Linked DNA regions of Macaca fascicularis. The protein of the gene in region 2 interacts with the protein of the main gene of each other region in a biochemical or structural test. Links are inferred from orthologs where the notes say so. Each region holds a gene or a part of one and is shown on either strand. Other genes may lie near its edges.

Region 1 (10,457 bases), on a different chromosome or scaffold from region 2:
ATGACAAGAGTGGAGACAGAAAGGAGGATTTGGCATTTAGTTTGGGGTTACACCTACTGGACTTGTGACAGGGTGGATGTGAAGATGAGGAAAGACTACTACTTGAGAGGCCATTGCTATCTACCCACGAATAAGCTAAACAGCCAAGGCAGAAACAACAACAGACATGCCAATGGCTGAAGATGCTTGCAGGCCTACCTCAGAGAATAGGAAATGGGGGCTGAAAGAACGATCATCCTGGCCAAGAGCACGTGTCCTGAAGCAACACTGTCCCAGAGCACCCAGGCTCTGCACCTCAGGCTAGTCACTCCTCTCCTGGCCTGTTTCCTCACCTTCAAAATCGATACAGCCCTTCACAATGGTCTGCTGTGACAAGTGAGATAATGCAGTTAATACAGTGTCTAGCAGTTAGTTAACCCTAGGAGTGCAACTTAAAAAGAAGTTTGATGGCTTGCATGTAAATAAGGATGAGGAACTACTTTGTACATGCCATGATGGGGCTCCAAGCCCAAGAGTTGTGAGTTATTCAGTATAAAATATAAGCAAGAGCTTCCTTAAAAAAGGACCTCACTCTCCTTGGACAGCACATAACCCAGAAGAGGACAAACAGTGGCCAGAGATGCTACAAAAAGCGTTCCTGAAATGGGTAGCAGCAGACATTTCTTACTAAAGCCCTTTCTCTCTCCAAGATTAAACATTCCAAGACCTAGGAAGAACATATCCCTAAATCCATGCCTTTTCCTTTTCCTTCCTAAGGTACTGGAGTAGGCTGGGGAGGTAACGGGAGATAAAAATGCCTGGGCTCTAGTCTGAGCATCACCAGTCTCCCTTGGCTTTGGCTCCTCCCTCAGTAATGTGGATGGATACTGCCCCTGGCTGGTGACCAGGCTGTGGAGAGTTAGATGAGACAACATCACAGGTGAGTCAAAGTCCATGGGACACTCTAAAGCACTATCAACAATATAACAGTAATAATATTCAAATATTTACTTTGCCAAATGTGCTACTCTGAACTTCATTGTGCCCCTTCAAAATTAAGCAGAGGAGGCCGGGCGCAGTGGCTCAAGCCTGTAATCCCAGCACTTTGGGAGGCCGAGATGGGCGGATCACAAGGTCAGGAGATCGAGACCATCCTGGCTAAAACGGTGAAACCCCGTCTCTACTAAAAAATACAAAAAACTAGCCGGGTGAGGCGGCGGGCACCTGTAGTCCCAGTTACTCGGGAGGCTGAGGCAGGAGAATGGCGTAAACCCGGGAGGCGGAGCTTGCAGTGAGCTGAGATCCGGCCACTGCACTCCAGCCTGGGCAACAGAGCAAGACTCCGTCTCAAAAAAAAAAAAAAAAAAAAATTAAGCAGAGGATTCCTGACTTCATATTTTGTATTCTACTTTTATCAAATTTCTACAGAGCTACAATTTGGGGGGAGGTGGGAGGGACAGAGATATGAAGAGAAAAGAGAATGTGGTGGGGGAAATAGAGTGGTTTTAAGTTAATGTGAAGGGGGAAAATCATGATCATCAAAATTAACCTTGGTAATCCCTTAAGAAAACAATAGCTGGCGGCCCGGCGCGGTGGCTTATGCCTGTAATCCCAGCACTTTGGGAGGCTGAGGAGGGCAGATCATGAGGTCAGGAGTTCGAGACCAGCCTGACCAACATGGAGAAACCCCAACTCTACTAAAAATACAAAAATTAGCCAGGTGTGGTGGCGTGTGCCTGTGATCCCAGCTACTCAGGAGGCTGAGGCAGGAGAATTGCTTTAACCTGGGAAGCGGAGGTTGCAGTGAGCCGAGATTGTACCACTGCACTCCAGCCAGGTGACAGGGCGAAACTCCGCCACACACACACACACACACACACACACACACACACACACACACAGAAACACAAAAGCTTGCACTAGCCCAACAAAGTCAGTTTCCCCTCTATCACTGGGGCAGGCTACTATTTCTTTGGCTGAGCACAATATGAGGCTGTTCTTTAAATGTAGGGCCCATGTTGTAAAAAAGGCACTTAATTACAATTGGCATAAGATTCTCACACAGTGAGACACAAGGGAACTGAGAAAAACTAAGGGACTGTGAGTTTTCATCCATTTCCAGCTCTCTCTGAGGAAGACCCTCGAATGGCAGGGAAGACTAATCTCTGCTGCCCACATGGTTAAGGTTTTTTTTTGTTTTGTTTTTTGTTTGTTTGTTTTTGAGACGGAGTCTCGCTCTGTCGCCCAGGCTGGAGTGCAGTGGCGCGATCTCGGCTCACTGCAAGCTCTGCCTTCCAGGTTCACGCCATTCTCCTGCCTCAGCCTCCTGAGTAGCTGGGACCATAGGCACCTGCCACCACGCCCGGCTAATTTTTTGTATTTTTAGTAGAGACGGGGTTTCACCGTGTTAGCCAGGATGGTCTCGATCTCCTGACCTTGTGATCCACCCGCCTCGGCCTCCCAAAGTACTGGGATTTACAGGCGTGAGCCACAGCACCCAGCCTTATGGTTAAGTTTTTATAAGTTGAATGTGCATATGAGGCCACTCCGATGTATGCAAATTTAAAATCATGCCCCACCAGGGCTTACCACTCTGGCACTTACTTTCTGATTAAATGTCAGGGAAGCCCGTGGGCTGCTAAGTGAGAGGAAGGGCCTGGCAACCAAGGGCCACTATTTGATGTGCTGCAATCCTGGCCAAGGCAGGAGGAAGTCACTGTCATAACATGGGGATTCTGAGGATCTGTGGTGGGCTTTTCACAGTTCCACCCTCTAAAACATATGTAGATACCACACATTGCAGAACCAAAGGAAGTGGGAAGGCGGTGTAGCCAAATGCTGAAAGCAGTGACCATAAAAAACTAAGTTCAGCCCTTACAGGAACTCAAAGGCTTCACAGCTGTTTCCTGGCAACCAGAAGCACAGATTAATAAAGAGCCTCACTCTAAACCTGACTAAGGAAGGCCTCAGGGCCCTGACCACACCTGGAAGACTTCTCAGGGTTAGAAAGCAGGGAGGCCTGTACACTCATTTTAGTTTAACCCAAGTAAGGTCTGCTTAGCACCCTGCACTCTTTTCACTGCCTAGGGACTCTTAGCACCCTGCACTCTTTTCACTGCCTAGGGACTTAGGTCAGATCTTGCCATACTCCTCTTTTTAAGACTCTTATTTATTCATTCAACAAATATTTACTGACTGCCTACTTCATACCAGATACTTGTTTGATGGCTTCCCCTCACACCAAGTCAAATCCAAAGCCATGTCTCTCCAACTCATCTCTTTAACAAGCCTTGCTTGCACACTAAGGCCTTTTATCCTGTTCTTTCAACATGCCAAGCTCAGTCCCACCACAAGGCCTTTGCACTCACAGTCCACCCTCTCTCCTACCTGTGACACTGTAGGGTTGGCGCTTTCCATTATTCCCCTCAGTTGAAATGTCACTTTCTCAGAGAAGCCTTCCCTGACCACCTCTCCAGACACTCTTTATCATATCACACAATTTCCTCCATAGCACTTACTGCTATCTGAAATTGTCTTATTTATTTACCCCTTAACAGCCTTCTCTCCTTGACTCGAATGGAAGCTCCCAAAGGACACAGACTATGTCTGTTTTGTTTGCTATCCACAATGGGACATAATAGGCCCTCAGTAAATATCTTTTGAATAAACAGACAAAAAGAATTTTGGGAAGTCCATTTTAGGGCACCTCAAAGCCTGTTCTATGTTATTTAAACCATGCCAAATGCTCTTGTATTCCACTCGAGAGCAGCTGACATTTTATCTGATCGCCATAGCCATTTACGAAGCACTCACTTTTTAACTGTCAGGGTCTCCAGAAGTTAGAATCGGGCACCTGTTAACTCAGATTGTAGGTAGCCAACCGAGTGACTGCAAGCAGGGCTGAGCTGCAACAGCACCTTATTGCTGGCTACCGCCAGCACACTGGGCCCCTTGCTTCATTACGACCTGGTACGAGTGTTATTCTGGTGAGAAGTTTCCCCCAGCAGTCTGGCCTGACTCAGAATCTCTCTTCTGGGAGTGCCTGGGGCAGCGTCTTGGTAAATGAATTGACTCAGCACTGTTCCAGCTGAAACCAAAATCGAGTAAAAGGATTCATGGTCTCCGCTATGCTGCAAGAAGACCCCACTGTTTTAAATGCAAAAGGCAGCAGCTTCTGGTGGGTCACTTCAGTCAGATCCCCCATATTCAATTTCTTTTATTCTCACCCCAACCATCAGACAAGTATGGCTCCTTGAGACCGCAGAGGAGCAACACTGTAAAGAATTTCCCTCACCCTATTTCTCATGGATCACCAATTCCTTCCCAACACTGCCCCTGCTGTGGCCTTAAATACCCCAATGACTGCCGTACTCAGGTTCGTGTCCCTGCAGCCCCACAGTGGGGAACACTGTGGTTCTGTTTCCTTCCTCCATCAGAGGTAACCCATCTTCACCCCATCTGAGAGCACCTCCTTGGCCAACTTCACTGCCAGGCACCCGAGGGTGCAGCCTCACCCAAGAGTGTCCATTTCATCTATTCACCTCCCTACTCCCATCAGCCAGTGGGGAACTTCTGAGCTGAACCCACATATCTGTCCCAATTATCAAAGGAGTGGATGAGAGTGAGCGTCTCCACAGAAGAGACACTTCTAGGATATGCTTCCCTCACTCAATTCAAAAAGAGGAGACTTATCTCGTTTACAAGAAACATCTCTGGAACCCGACCTTCTCCACTAACTCATTTCAGGGGCTTCCCTCAGTTGAATCCCCACTCCCAAAGAGACATCCTCGGGATTCCCAATTCACCTGTTCTTCCTCATTCAATATCAGAGGCTTCCACCAATTGCCCCAACGGACCTGTCCCCTGAAAGCGAAATTGGAGCAATCCATCTGTATCCTCGAATAGGAGACTGGTAATGATGGGGTCATTTCACTATCACTGCAATCAAGTCCCTGTGGCATCTGAATCCTTTCCCCCCCGCTCTCACTTATCATGCGGAGATTCCTTAATTCTCCCCAAAAGCAGCCGCTCCAAGGCTCCTCCTTTCTAGTCAACACAGCTATTTCCTCGGCTAACCCTATCTCTAAAACTAACGCCGGAGCCGTCCCCTCAACCAATAGGGGATCCTCTCGAGTCACCCCCTCAGGATCCCGTTTCTTCCTCCCATCCAGCTTGAGGGGCTCCTCTGATGTCCCCTCCAGACATCCCAAGGCCCCCCCCTCAGCCGCACCCCTGGCACCCAGTACGGGACTTCCATCCGCTGTGGGGCGCCTCCTCCTCTAAGGAACCCCTTGGTCGCCCCTTAAAGAGTCGCCAGCCCCGGTCTCCTCAGAAGTGCCTTGGAGCTCGCTCCTCGCCCACTCCGGCTCCCCCAGGTAGCGCAGCGGGGCCCTCACGCCTCCCGGGGGAGCCTTAAGGCTCGCCGCGCCGCCCACAGGCCCCTCAGCCCCCCGCCCGTGCTTCCGGCCACCGCCTGCCCGTGGCTGCAGCGGAGCCCACCGGACAGAGGCGGCGCGGGGACCCTGGCCCCCCTGCAGGAGCCTTTGAGAGTCCCCAGCCCCCGGCCCAAGCCCATGCCCCTTCGGCCGGCCGGGCCCGGCGCCCCCGCTCACCCGAGCCCGTGGTGGCTGCCATCTTGCGTCGCTGTTGCTTGAAGGCCGGCCCCTTCTTCACCCCCCACCCGTCCCCTGGCCCTGATGCGCAGGCGCGCGCGCACGCACAGACGCCGCCACTGACGCCCGCTCCGGAGACCTGCGCGACCCGAGGCCGGGGAGGCTCTTTTCCTTCCCTTTTAGAGAAAGGAAATATCTGCGTGCTCGAGGGCTCAGCAACCTGCAAGTCCCCCCACATCGGGTGCGAGGGAGGTTGTGACGTGCTTAGTGAGAAGGGCAGGGGTGACGAGGCTTGGGAAGGCGCGATTGTGAAAGAAAAAGAAAAGATAGCTTCAAACAAAAGCGCCGAATTCACTTGGGGCTTTTTCCTGTCTAGTTCCTATCTAGATCCTCACCACATCTCCACAAGGTCGGAATTAATGTGAAAAATGCAGCCGAGAGAGATTAAACGATTTATCTAAACTCAGCTGTTAAGTGGCAGAGACAGACAGAATTTTAACCTCCAGGTTCAAATTTGAATTTGAATCGTCACCCTCCAGGTCAGATGATCTGGCTTCTAGGATTGATGCTCCCTGGCCAGAGAAGGCTTGAAGTGGGTGCAGCTAAATGATTTGGGGGCAATAAGGTGGCAGGGAAAACATTTGCTAACCATCTGCCCAATTCATTCATTCACTCATTCGTTCGTTCATTCATTCAACCAAACAAACATTAAGCACCTACTATGTACCAGACACTGTGCTAGGAGCTGGGGATGGATAGACATCTCTGAAGAAGCAAATCCCTGCTTTCAGGGGCTTCCATTCTAGTCATAGATAGCAAGTAAATAAACAGGAAACTACAATTCTGATAGGCTAGAGATAAACCAAGAAAAGGGCAGCGGAGGATGGTCAGGAAAGGCTTCCTAACGTGGTCGTATTTCAACAGAGACCCTAACAATGAGGAGGTAGAGGGAACAGCTTGTGCAAAGGCCCTCGGGAAATATTTTTGCAAATAAACCCAAGAAGTTAATCCTCCTATATTATAAATTGTCTGAGAAGCCCTTATATGGATGTAGACCCTGAAGCTGAGACAGGTGAAGGGACTGGCTTAAGGTCACAGAGCAAAATACTGGCAGAAGGACTAGGACTCTAAACAAAGAGGGACAAGGAAGCTGGAAGCCCTCACCCAGCACATCCAATTCATCACCTTTGTCTGACAACAATGCCTACTCTGCATCTCTCCTGCTCCATTCACTTCTCCACTCAGGACAAGCTGTCTTTATCTCCTACTTGGAAGACCCCGGCAGCTTCCATTCTCTCCCCCATGGTCCATTCTCCATATGGACCAACATCTGCTCAAAACACCCTCCAGCTAAAGCCTTCAGTGGCTCCCTATTCCCTCTGGATAAAATGCAAACTCTACAAGTTGAGTGACCATAGATTATCACCTAATGAGGACACTCATCAGATTAAAAGAGGACCTATTATAATCTCACCAGGGCAAGTGGAAACCAGGGCTCTCCAGGGCAAACCAGGATGCCTGGACACCCTGTGCACAAGGCTTTGCATCCAGGGCTTGGACGAGGATGGGGCCATCAGATTTAACGGGGCTTTCACTCAGGTCCTGACTCTGCACTTGTACAGCCCTGCAGGTGAGTGACTCCTTAAAATCTGCACCCTAGGGCAGGGCGTAGTGGCTCATGCCTGTAATCCCAGCACTTTTGGAGGCAGAGGTGGGCGGATCACCTGAGGTCAGGAGATCCAGACCAGCCTGGTCAACATGATGAAACCTTGTCTCTACTAAAAATACAAATTAGCTGGGCGTGGTGGCAGGCGCCTGTAATCCCAGCTACTCGGGAGGCTGAGGCAGGAGAATCGCTTGAACCCGGGAGGCAGAGGTTGCAGTGAGCCGAGATCGCGCCATTGCATTCCATCCTGGGCAACAGAGCGAGACTCTGTCTCAAAAAAAAAAAAAAAATTCTGCACCCTAGGTCCCCCACTTGCCTCATCATAGCCTTGGCACAGCCTGCGCCTCTGAGACTTTCTGTACCTCTGCAGCGACACTGGCCCTTTGCAAGCCCCCTGGAACGCAAGGCCTCTCCCACTTCAGGGGCTTTGCTTGTGCTGTCTCCACTCTTCAGTTCTCAGTCCAGCACCACCCCCTCAGGGAAGTCTTCCTCGATTCCTTCAACCACGTCAAATTCAGCTGTAATTAGCTCTCAAAGTGCCAGCACTGGCTACAGGTGAAGCAACTTGACTTTTCGTGTATCACGTGATACAAGTTTGCTTTGGGGAGCACAGAAAATACTTGCCCTGGACTTAGGGTCACTGTAAAGCATGAGTAGCAGGTGGAAGCATTTGGGTTCCTAAGGTGGACTCACTTTTGCAGTTAAATTTTCTAGGTTCAAGTCTTCCTTCATCACTCAGTGTGCTTTGTGACTTCAGGTAAGACGCTTGAACCTCTCCTGGTATCAGTTTCCCCTTCTATGAGGATAGCAGTATCAACCTCATAGGATTGCTGTGGAGATAAAATGCTTTCCTAAAACCCCTTGGCACAGGGAGGAGGAAGGGACACTAGAAGCGCTGATATTTACCAAGCCGTTACATCCAGCTTTTAATCCTCACAACTCGATGCGCAACTCCTGTGACTATCCCCGTTTTAGAGATGAGAAAACTGAGACTCAGAGCTAACAGGTGGAGGATGAGGATTAAAACACAAGCCTTTTATCCATGATGCCCGTAAATGTCTACTCGCATGGATTCCTTGGCTTTTGTAGGAAACTTCTTGCAAGTAAAATTGACAATAATAATTATCGTGCAGAGCTCATCGCAGGAAGAGGTTAAGCGGGACAGCCCGGGGCATGCTGGTTATTGTAGGCTGGCGTTGGCGCGGTGCCTGGTGGGAGTTATAGTACGTCCCGCGCACACGCCCCCTCGAAGAGGCTCTACCCCATTCCTGGACGTCACAACCGGTCCCCAGAGCGGGATTCCTCCCGGCGCCTGCGCCTGGTCGCCGCTGTGCGCTTGAGCTGATAAACTCAGCTGATGGGGATAAGAGTCTTGTTTTATCGGATTTTGGGGAAGATTAAAATGGTTAATAAAACTAGAGAATTTAGAAAAGCGCTTGGCACTAAGTGCAATATAAGTATTAGCTGCTATTATTACTTAATCCTCAATGACCCTTGCAAAGTAGCTGTTACCATTTCCATTTGTGAGATGAGAAAACTGAGGCTTAGAGGAGTTAGATGGCTTTTCCAAGGTCACACAAGGAAGGAGTAAAATCAGTTCTGGAATCCAGTTTTCTTTATCCTGTGTCACCTGCTGACTCTCCTGTGATGAGGGAGGTGGAGCCTGGGAGGTTTTGAGCAAAATGTGGGCAGGTTTGCCTTTTTGCAAAGTGCATCGTGCTGCCATGAGGAGACAGGGTGAGGACACCCAACTGGGCAGCAGCAATATTGGTGGCAGGGAACCCAGAGAGGTGTGTTGGGCACTGTTTACTGCCAGTCCAGTTGCCATGTCCCCACATGGCGGGGTGGGTGTTTGGAAACTTTGCCTCCCCTCATAAAAGCTGAAGAGAAGGTTGGGCGCCCTGGCTCACGCCTGTAATCCGAACACTTTGGGAGGCCGAGGCGGGCGGATCACCTGAGGTCAGGAGTTCGAGACCAGCCTGGCCAACATGGCAAAACCCTGTCTCTACTGCAAATACAAAAATTAGCTGAGAGTGGTGGCTCATGCTTTTAATCCCAGCTACCTGGGAGGCTAAGGCACGAGAATCGCTTGAACCTGGGAGGCAGAGGTTGCAGTGATCCAAGATCACGCCATTGCACTCCAGTCTGAGTGATAGAGTGAGACTCCGTCTCAAACGAACAAAAAAGCTGAAGAAAAAGCCTATTTTTGTCCCCTTTCCTCCTTCCTACCATATGAGGTTGTAATGATTAGAACCAGAATCCTGGGTGATATCGCTGAGCTGCTAAAGGAATCGCGGGGCTGCCCACCTGCAGACTTCTGAAGACGTGAGATAATGTGCCTGTTGCTTAAGTTGTTCTTAAAGGTAGGTTTTTGTTACCTACCACCAAAAAGCATACCTCATCGATACAGGAAGCTGATGCAATGGTTCAGCTGAGAGGCATATAGACCTGACTGTTCTGCAGTGTTCATTCATGAACTCTGTTCTCAAGTGAGAAAACACTAGGGCTGGTTTGGAATCTCAGGGATGTGAAAGGCATGAGTAGTTTGAAAAAGTATATTCGAAAGGTGGAAAATCAAAAATTATATAATGTTATCCACAACTTCATATTTCCTATTTATAGTTAAGGAAAACCCCCAACCTCTTGCTATAGTTTTTGTAACATAAGCTACAGAAAGTAAAGCTGACAAACTGTTGACAGGAAGGGCTGTGGACTTGCAGAAGACAGAGAGGATAATCCCTGGGAAGGGATGTGTGGTTAACAGGGTGTGATGAGGCCAGGCATGGTGGCTTACACCTGTAATCCTAGCACTTAGGGAGGCTGAGGCGGGTGGACCACCTGAGGTCAGGAATTCAAGACCAGCCTGACCAACATGGTGAAACCCCGTCTCTACTGAAAATACAAAAATTAGCCGAGCGTGGTGGCTCATGCCTGTAATCCCAGCTACCGGGGAGGCTGAGGCAGGAGAATCGCTTGAACCTGGGAGGCAGAGGTTGCCGCAGCACTGCACTCCGGGCTGGGCAACAGAGCGAAACTCCATCTAAAACAAACAAACAAAAAAAACCCCAACAGGATGTGTGATGCATTTGCCAGTGAAATTCTATGGCATATATATGGAGTCATGGTTCCCTGAGGTGTGTCTAGCCATAGCGCTGAGACATCTTATTTAATGTCTGATGTAGTTTTGAAATATACAGTCA
Region 2 (10,193 bases):
CTTCCTGGGTTCAGATTGACTGAAGTAAACGAGAACAGTGGGAGATGAAATTTAAAAACGTAGAATGGGATTAGATCACAGAAGATCTTGCTGGTCCTGGGGAAGTATCATGCCTTTTTTCTATAAGAATTGGGAAGCTCCAAAAGCTCTGAATAGTGATAGGAGCAGAACATTGTACTGGAAAGATTAGTGTAATTGTACCGATAATTGATTGAGGGAGTTAACCAATTGATGGGTGGATGATATTGTACAAACCTAGACAAAAGGTGATGAGGGCCCCCATTAGTTTATCGCCACTTGGTCCCTTCATCATTAGTACTTCTCTACCAGAGACATCTGTTTATTTGTATTGTAATTATTTTACTTGTCTCTCTCCTTTTCTTCACCAATAATGTAGCACATTTAGCACTGGAGTTAGACACTTCTAATTATCCCCCAATATCCCTTGGCTACAGTAATAAAACATTGCAAGTTTGAGCTGGACATAGAGCTACCAGTTAAAGACTACATGTCGCAGCCTCTCTTGCAACTAGCTGTGGCCATAAGACTAGGTTTTGGCAGGATTTGAGCAGGAGTGAGGATTGCTGTTTCTGGGACATGCCTTCATAATGAAGCTGTTTGCTCTTCAGTTCTTCTTGCCTCATTCTTGCAGATTGCTCCATACCCATTTTTCTCTCCCCTACCTGAAGTAGGTGTTGGAGACGATGCCCTTTTGGAACTACATAGCTTCCTTCATCCCTTTCCTGAGGAGAGAGGTATGTGGGCTTGGGTGTTACTTCATGGGTCAAGCTTTCACAGGATTTTGCAAAACGGGAAAATGTAGGTGTATTACTAGGTTCTGGCCAGTTGGATGACAATGAAAGTGGGGTGCTGTGTCCGGGTCATGCCTATAATGGGAAGCTCTCTGCTTCCACTTTCCTCCTTCTTGAGGGCAGGTATTTGACCCTAGTGGTCTCAAGCCCACCTTGTCTCAGGTGTCATTTTACAGGATACAAAGAACAAACATGTTCCTATGTCCCTGCACCCGCCTCACGGGGAAATACTGCCCAACCTCCTGGGATTACCTACAAACTTGAACTTCTATTATGAGAGAAACAACTTCCATTTTAATTAAGCTATTGTTATTTGGTCTCTGTTACAGCAGCCAAATTAATATCTTAATATAGAATGTATAAATATTGATGATTACCACTACATGTTAAATAAGAACATGATTGGACGCACTATACATGTAAAGTACAGGTTGAACTATCCCTTATCTGAAATGCTTCGGACCAGAAGTGTTTTGGATTGGTTTTTGTTTTTTGTTCAAATTTGGAATACAGTCGTCCCTCAGTCTCCATGAGGAATTACTTCCAGGACCTCCTGCAGATACCAAAATCTGCTGATGCTCAAGTCCCTGATATAACATGGCATAGTATTTGTATATAACCTACACATTTCCACCCGTATACTTTAAATCATGTCTATATTACTTATAGTATCTAAAACAACATAAACTCTATATAAATAGCTGCTATGCTCTATTGTTTAACAGGGAATAATGACTAAAAAAAAAAAAAGTCTGTACATGTTCAATACAGATAAAATTTTTGTCCTAAACATTTCAATCCAAGGTTAGTTGAATCCACGGAGGCAGAATCTGTACAAAGAGCTGAGTATATCTGTATTATACACTGGTGGTCATGCCAATTCTGAAAATCTGAAATCCAAAATGCTTGAAAGAGAGTTTTCTTTGAGTGTAATGTCAGCACTCAAAAAGTTTTGTATTTTGGACCATTTCAGGTTTCAGACTTTTGGAATAGGAATACTCAACCTTTAATATTAAAAAAATATGTATTTATTCCATTCCCCTAAACTTTGAGCATAAAGCATCTATAGTCTATTGAGAAGGAAAGCTGTAATAGAAAGCTTAGGCTAAACTCAACTTCCCTGTCACCATAAACCTGGGTCAATTTTCTAATTTGCTTCATGATAAGCATGTTCAGCACAGAAAGCATCTGACAAGATGAAGACAACAAAATGCTTGGTTAATAGTTTCTGGTCATAGGCTCTATCGCAACCCAAATAAAGCCTTTAAAAGGAAAATGAACTTTGAAATCTTCAAATTGTGTATCTCTTACATCTCTTTATAGGCAAGCACTATAAAAATGTGAATTTGAATATTATTTGATGGCAGGGCTTTTGTGATGCTTGTTTTCTTATAGAATGCAACAAAAATTTCATGGAAACAAAGTCTACTTTCTATTGAAGAACAATACTTGACATTGAGATTTTAAAAATTTTGCCATTTACATTTATCATTATTTTTCAATAATTTTGCGCTCTCATATCCAGACTGACTGTTTAAATAAGCATTTCTGCCTGCACAGCCCATTTGATGAAACATATTTATGATCAAGTTTATGTACTTGTATCACTATTGCACTCAAAGAAATATCAGGAGTCTCTGTGTAACTCCTTAGGATATATAAAATTCTTCATGTTTTAAGTGGAAGAGCATTGGAATGGTGACTTATCTAACTGGAAAAGTGGTTTGGAGGGTATTGGCCTTTGAGCATGAGGTCGCAATTAAGAAAAGCTGGAAATTGTCATACATATCCTGAATCGAAATACACCTTCAGAAAGAGATGAGGATATTTTGATCTTATAATGCTGAAAAGTCTATACTGCTAAAGATAAAAATGGTGAAATGTAAATATTGGTTATGAAATGGAAAATTTTTATTTCTTGTACCACTGAAGTTATTTTGTATAAACAGTATTGTCTAGCTTTCTTTTATCAAGATTTGAATGTTGTTATTTTGGTTTACCTTGGAGTACTAAGGGCAGGGACTTTGCTTTGCTGATCCCAAATCCCCAGAACTGTGCTTAACAAGTATTGGGTATTAAAAAAAGAGAGAGAGAGAGTTGTTGACTGAATAAGTAGATGAATGGATAAATAATCTTTGCATTTAAGAATTATGATTTCCAATGGCAAGAGAAGTATTGCTAGCACAAGATTTTCCTTTAGAATATAAAAAGATAAGATAATGTATCACAAATAAGTTCTTTATAAAGAAGCCTGCTTCATAATCAATGTGGTTCTTTTAAAGTCATGTAGGCATATTTACTACATCTGGCAATATAGAAACATTAGATTTTGCAGAACTATCTCTTTAGGCGTAGGATTATATTAAAGAATTAACATGATACAAGAATTATGAACACAAGTTTAGGAAATAACAGAAAAGAACCCTGACCAGTAAAAAAAAAAAATTGTGATATTCAATTATAACATTAAAAAACACCAAAATTGTAAATATTGTGTAGAAGAAAACTAAATTATTAACTTGAATGGTTATGGTATTGCTGATAAATGCATCATCTTGACTCCTAGGAGAACCAATTTATGTGAAATTCCATGAAAAAGAATTAGTTACAACAAGCAGAATTTTAGTCTATTTCCAAGAATTTTAACTACTGTAAATCACCTGACACACTTCTCAATAATTAGGATATCATTTTGCATAACCACATGGGAACCTGGCCTAGAGGTCTATAGGTAATCTGTTTCATTCATGTATTTTAAGTATGTCATTTAGGAATAAGTTATTAGGTTTACAACATATAAGCAAAGGAAATAATGTGACACTGGAAAACAACATTACTCATTTAACATAATGAATTGCCACATGTAATAACTCAGATCTTCCCAGGGTGTAAATTATATGAATTTGAAAGCTGCATTTATTATTTAATGCCTCATTCCCAGACAGGTGCTTACTCAGTAGCAAAATCTGCCTTAGCATACCAAGTGTAAAGCTATGTAACAAATAGGAAGGTTTAAAAAATAGATACTATCATGCAGACAGCTAAAATATTTGTATGTATTTTTAATCTTTTTTTCCTCTAATGATACTTAGAATATTTTATTTTTGTTACTACAAATAATGCAGATGAAATATGAATTGTATTAGTAGCAGAGACACATGAGCTAAAGCTTGTATTGTTTAAAGCACATCATCTTAAAAGGCCTGTCAGGAAACAGTGTTCATATTAAGTGGGCTTTCAGTACTCTAACAAGATGACATCATTTTCTAAGAGACAAGTGTTGTTAGAGTAACTGCTAGGATATTCCAAAATTTCTCATTATAGATTATTTAATGAGTTTATGTTCCCAGTTGTATATCAGCTCATGTTAAATTTTGCAAGAGTTTATGATTTCTAAGAGCTCATCTTCTGTAAGGCCCTTTGCTGAGTGGGGTTAGTTAGCAATCAGTAATTAAAGGGGATCTTTTTACCTCGTGTAAATAGCGTAAGAGTAATTTTGGGCGGTTTAGAAACGATGAGTTATCAGGAAGGTGCTTATCAATGGGCAGAGTATATCATTTGCCCAGGATTCTAACAACCTAGCCTGCCCCCCACACACTGTGGGGGACCGTCTGCTACTTGCCAAGTAATTGCCATTTTTGGCAAAGACCACCCAGGACATGGGCTCAGAGTCCATCCTAGGGCTGGCCAACCTCTGTAAATCTCGTGTCCCCTGATACGGAGCGAGTGCATTCAATTCAGGAAGATCACTTACGACTGAGTTTTTCATCATGGCTTTGACTGTGAAGCCCTCAGAAACCAGGGAGTGAGGCTGGTGCACCGGGAGCGGCTGTTGTGCCAGCAGCTTGGTCCTCTTCGGCATCTTGTCTGGGCATTTGTTTAAGCTCAGGGTCTCTTTTTCTGCCACCATCTTCCTAGAAAATGTCTTGTTCTCATAAAAAGTGTAGTAAAAGAATCAGTGGGTTTTACGGATGTGAGCAGGAGGTCGGGAAAAAAATGTCAAAAGGCGCGTTAATGGTAGAAATTCAACCCCTCGTAGTGCCCAGGTTGATCCAGATGTTTGGCAGCTCCTAGGTGAAGGGAGTTTAGGGGAGGGGTGGGGCGGGAAGAGGGCAGGACCGTAGCTAGAGCTGCAACAAGCTTCCAAAGGTAAGCCTCCCGGTTGCTAAGCGACTGGTCAACACTGCGGGCGCATAGCTCCGCCCCTCGGTGACGTACGATTGCTGGGCCTGAAGCCGGAAAGGGAGGCGGCGGTGAGCTGGAGGGCAGGAGGCGTGAGGAGAAACTACGCATTAAAACTACGACTCCCAGCAGGCCCTGGGCCGCGTACCCTCCGCGCGTGCGCATTCCTAGGGCCCGGCGCCGGGGCGGGGAGCCCTGGAAGATTTAACCCAGGAGAGCCGCTGGTGGGAGGCGCTGGCTGGCGCCGGTGCGCGCGTAGGCCCTTTCCTGGCCCGCAGCCGCCACCTGCCCAGTGACCATGATAGGTACGTGGGTACCTGCCAGGTACAGCCTCATCTGCGCCGCCCTGCGCCCCGGTGTGGCCTCGGCCGACCTGGACCCCAGGTGCCAACTGTCAGTGACGGGGCCAAAGTGCCCATGCCGTACCCGGCCCGCACCGCCGGGCTCTCCAGCTCAGCGACGCGGGCCCGGGGCCCCAGTGTGTGCGTTCCAAGCCCTCGCCCGCCCGCCCCTGCTCTGAGCGTTCCCGTGAAGACCGCCTCACCGGGGACGCCAGGCGGCCCCGCACCCCCGGTCCTCGCTCATGGTCCCCCGGACCGTGTAGGGTCCCGAAGCCTTCGCCCCGCCGCCGCCCCTCGCCCTCGAGGCCCTGGCCAGTTGTCGTGCGGTTCAGGACCCATCGAGACCCACTCTTTGTGGGGCTCTTTCAGGAAACCCCAGCAAAGCATTAAACTCTAATGGAAGGCACCTGGTGAGGGTGGCTGGGCGCCACAGAAACTCCTCCAGATGAATCTAAACTTCTTGCTCCCTCGGATGTTTCCTTTTAAACTTCTCGTTGGAGGGCTGAGGTGAAAGAAAAATTGAGAGTAAATAATAGCCAAGATTACATCTACTGCCTTTTGCAATATAACTTTTTTTTTTTTTTTTTTTTTTGGTAAAACACAATGACCGAGGTGCAATTTTGTGAACAAAACTTAGTGGCATCAGAGTTGTTCATGAACACTTGATGTGTAAGATGAGCAAAGGTGCAAAGGTCCTCTTCCAGGGTTGTTGAACCAAAAACTACTTTAGGGGCTGTCCCTAAAAATGAATGGAAATGCACCATATGTTTAGAAGCCAGTGCTATATGGGGTTTCATTATTGTGGAAGTTTCTCCAGGTTATGTATGGAGGGTTTAGTGAGCTTGTTTAGGGCTAATTCCTGAGGAGCGTCCCTTACAAAACACTTTTGATTGCAGTAAGTACGTTCGAAGTCAGATGTGGTCTGTCCAGAAGTAAGGTGAGAGGTGGATTCATAAAATATATGATCTTTATGCACTGAAAACACGTACTACATCTGTTTTTATTTATGAAGTTATTGTTAAAATGTAAACATTCTGCCCATCAGTGGGAGAATCAAGCCAGCTAACTGGCATTGTCTTTGTCTCTGTGGTAAAACAAGAATGTTGTTCAGCCTTCCCTTTCTAGCATGGTCTGACTTTTGGTGAATGACTTGAAAGTTAACCAAATTATGAAAAAGTTATAATTTTTTGAGTTTTCTTGAGCTCTTTTTAGGTGACATTTACGTAAGATTCACTTGTAAGCACAAGTCTGAACTGAATCAGAAAACCAAGTAGAAGAGATTTTCCAAAATCCGTGCTATCAGTAGTCTACAGGAAGAAAATAGCCTATACCTTATTTTGAAGACAGTTAAATACATTTTATTTTAATTTAACTTAATCTAGTGCACAGATAATTTTAAGAGAAACAAATTTATTGTAAAGCTATATGAAGACAGGCACTTAAGATCTGGGATTGGAGGCGTAAGCCACCACGCCCAGCCTCATTAGCCACATTTCAGTAAACATCTGAATGGCCAGTTTGAGATTTGGGTGTGGTGAACAGTGCTAAAGGTAGGTGAAAGTGAAAACCATTAAAAGGAAGCCTTGGAGTGATGGATTTTGTGTTTTTGTGACAAAAATTCAGAGCGAGGAAAGACATTATAGATTTTATCCAGTGATCAGTTGGAGATCAAAATGTAAATAGTATGTATCTGGGATTTTCTGTTAAAGGTAAGAGTGCTTCTCAAAGCTTGCTCCTTTCAGGCCTATGCTTTCTCTGTTACACTCACCTTGTTGCGGGATTCAGGAGGACGAGAGAGACCTCGGGTTGAAACAGGAGAATCTTGATCGAGTGCACTCAGGCCCAGCTGACTCACATGCAATAGACTGGGCCCAGAATAAAGACAGTACTTGACTTTTATACACACTTCACAAAAGGAGGTGGGCTAGCTTGAAGCAAACTTACGGTGGTGGCAAAGCAGGGATACAGAGGCAGGACAAAGGCAGGACTGCACATGGCCATCGCCAAGCAACCCAGATGTTCGTTATCTAGGTTTCCCTGGGCACAGGCTTATCCTATAACCTTCACTATGGTGCCCAGGCAGCTGTAGTTCAGGCCTACTCAGGCTTCTCATGACCTTCGTTGTGCTTCTTAGATAAAACAGAATACTTGAAATCACTAGTTACAGAGAACAAGAGTCTATAAACTGATTCCATAAAACAAAGGAAAATTTGTTTTTCTTCTCCCTGTGTTGAGGGAGTGCTGGGAGAGTCTCCAGAGCACATTCGATAATATTAGCAAGACTCTTCCTGGATCTGGGCTGTGCTGTTGCTGCCTCTGGGACAAGTTAGCCTAAAACAGGAAAACTTATTTCTTTTTCTTTTTAATTTTATTTTTCTTTAATTTCCCGCCCCAACCTTAATGCAAATAATATTCTGCCAGTTGGAGAAACGTAAAGATGGGTTTCCTGGTAGAAGAGGAGTAAACAAGACTGACTGCGACCTAACTGCTAGTGGAATGTGCCTTCCTTTTACTTTCTCAAAACCAAAGATTCCCTTCTTGGGATGAGGACTGTTTCATAAGTCCTTACATTTCCCACCTGGATTGCGATTGATATGTTGAATGCCCTGACCTGGGCAGCTATGGAAACGTAATTTAATTGAAGTCGGTTAAAAATTGTGCCTTTGTGGAAGGTGTGGAGAAGGACTTCAAGATAATATAAAGCAGAATAGAAAAGCTTAAAAGAATTCAACGTAGAAAAGTGTAATTTTTGGTATCTCTATTAAAAATATATTTTGACTTTGTAAAAAATGATCAGTTTTTTGTATTTAAAATGGAATGTTAGTGGTGATAATTTGTGGTATGTTCTAAATGTTCTGTAGAACTGGATTTAGGTATTTGAGTAACAGCAGATATTAGAGTGCTTGGTTATATATACACCAATGTTGTCAGTATTGAAATACACATTCAGTGTCTTATACTTTTAAGAAGATTTTTGATTGACAAAAACCATTCATTGGAACATAGTCTCTTCTATACCTTGTTTCACTTAGCATCTCTTTGAGAATTTACATATCTGCATGTACAGATTCACTCCACAGCAGTTCCTGCCTAGTGTTTTATAGGATACACTAATGAAAATATTTACCAACAAATAAGCACTCATCAGGTTTACAGACGACTGTTATCAGAAATGTTTGTGGACATATCTTTTTACTTGCACATGTAAGCATATATGTAAAAGAGAAATCGTATGACAATTTGAGTTAAAGAGTTTGCAGATTTAAAATATTCCTAGGTATTTCAAAATTTTTCTAAAATAAGTTGCCCTATTTTACAAAGCTATCTAAAGCCTCCACGAATACAACATGGTAGTAAAGAGCTGCCCTGCCCCTCTGGCCTGAAAATTACCAAAAGACGTCCTTCCCGAGACTGACTCAGCTTTCACTAGCAGAACACCTCCTAGATCTCCAGTCCCCACCTCTCTCTCACCCTAGGTGTAGTGCCTTTCAGTGTACAAGCTGCACAACTGTCCTTGGTGGCCCTGCCCTCCCTTTCAGTGTGTATAAGGGTGCCCATTTCCTCCCATGTGCCATCAAAGATTTTTTATTTTTGCCCTCTTGACAGATGAAAAACAGCATCTTTTAACTTTGCAAATTAATTTAGAAGAAAACTTCCCATTTTCATCTTATAATGCGTTAGTTTCACAAAAGCAGATGCGGTGATTTCAGCACCTGCTGTGTACCCTTAACTGCTCTAGGTGCCAGGGAAACGAGGGAACAGAGCAGAAAAAGTCCCTTGCCATCAGGAATGTGCATTCTGACTTCACCATTTGCCCATATATCTGCATGTTTGTTTTCAAGCGTGTGTGCAGTGAATTTTAAAGTCTCAATTTATATTTCTAGTTGAATATTCTGTGTACTACTCTTTGCCCTGCCATTTTAATAAGTTGATGAAAAGCAGCTCTATGCCTAAGTACCCCAAAGCTTCTGTTTATGATGAGGTAAAATTGTGTCAAAAATAGGCTCTAATAAAGTTTTGCATAGAAGATTTTATGTAATTATATAATAGTTTTTCCTTGAGTCGGTCCAAAAGCTCTAAAATGACCCTTTGTCCTTTACAGTTTTGGCCCTATTTCTGAGGATATTTTTGAAGTCTGCATTTTTTGAAACCTCATAGTTTCATTGCCTGAAAATGATACAATGAAAGTACTTTGTATTAAGATATGTAAATCCATTCCTACCTCCAAAGCTTTTTTGAAAGATGCAGGAAAAAAAAAAGAGTTCTTACTTCGAAATGCTTCATATTCCTGAGAGCAGTTTTAATGCAAAAAACTTTATTCTGTTAGCTTTTAGTTCTTTGATCAATGAAAATTGCTTCTTACCTACTGTTTCTTCAGCCTTTAATTGTAGCCCAGTGCTTATTCAATGTTTCTGTTTTCATTTGCATTTAATGAGCTCATTTTAAATGTTTCTTTGTAGTAATCTGAATGGTTTCTCTCCCTAAATTTTGTAACATTAAAGAAAGAGACTCATGTGACAGTTGGCTGATTTATGTTACAGCTTCCCTCCCTGGCTGATTTACTTCATCCTGTAGGATAGAATCTTGGTTCAAAGGAAATACAGTAGCAGGATTCTTTCCCCCAGTAATTTCCTAATTACCTAGGACTCTAACAGATTCACTCAAATGTCTGTTTTTCACCAAATAGAAACCTTTTTTCCTTGGATGAATAGGTATTTAAATTTATGATTATTCAGTGTCATTTCTTTATACCATATGTATTAGGTGGTGCTGGGTAGGGGTGGGTACACACAGGTTGTATATATCTATATATTGCCTATGGGGAAGGCACATACAAATGACCATTTCTTCCCAATGA

The links.
Region 1: the proteins of PRKN (region 2) and UBE2V1 form a complex in vitro, tested with the Homo sapiens proteins (4 studies listed by BioGRID). The link is inferred for Macaca fascicularis from reciprocal best matches to the Homo sapiens genes PRKN and UBE2V1.

Annotation. Positions count from the first base shown.
Region 1 is NC_088384.1:106,200,941-106,211,397, forward strand, and holds the start of UBE2V1 (ubiquitin-conjugating enzyme E2 variant 1), read right to left. Parts: upstream 5,651-10,457; 5' UTR 5,614-5,650; coding exon 5,592-5,613; intron 4,067-5,591; exon of another isoform or gene 3,793-4,066; intron 367-3,792; exon of another isoform or gene 199-366; intron 1-198. UniProt on the Homo sapiens protein: Has no ubiquitin ligase activity on its own. The UBE2V1-UBE2N heterodimer catalyzes the synthesis of non-canonical poly-ubiquitin chains that are linked through Lys-63.
Region 2 is NC_088378.1:8,399,348-8,409,540, forward strand, and holds the start of PRKN (E3 ubiquitin-protein ligase parkin), read left to right. Parts: upstream 1-5,173; 5' UTR 5,174-5,292; coding exon 5,293-5,299; intron 5,300-10,193. Other genes in the region: PACRG (parkin coregulated gene protein), read right to left, coding at 4,567-4,722. UniProt on the Homo sapiens protein: Functions within a multiprotein E3 ubiquitin ligase complex, catalyzing the covalent attachment of ubiquitin moieties onto substrate proteins. Substrates include SYT11 and VDAC1.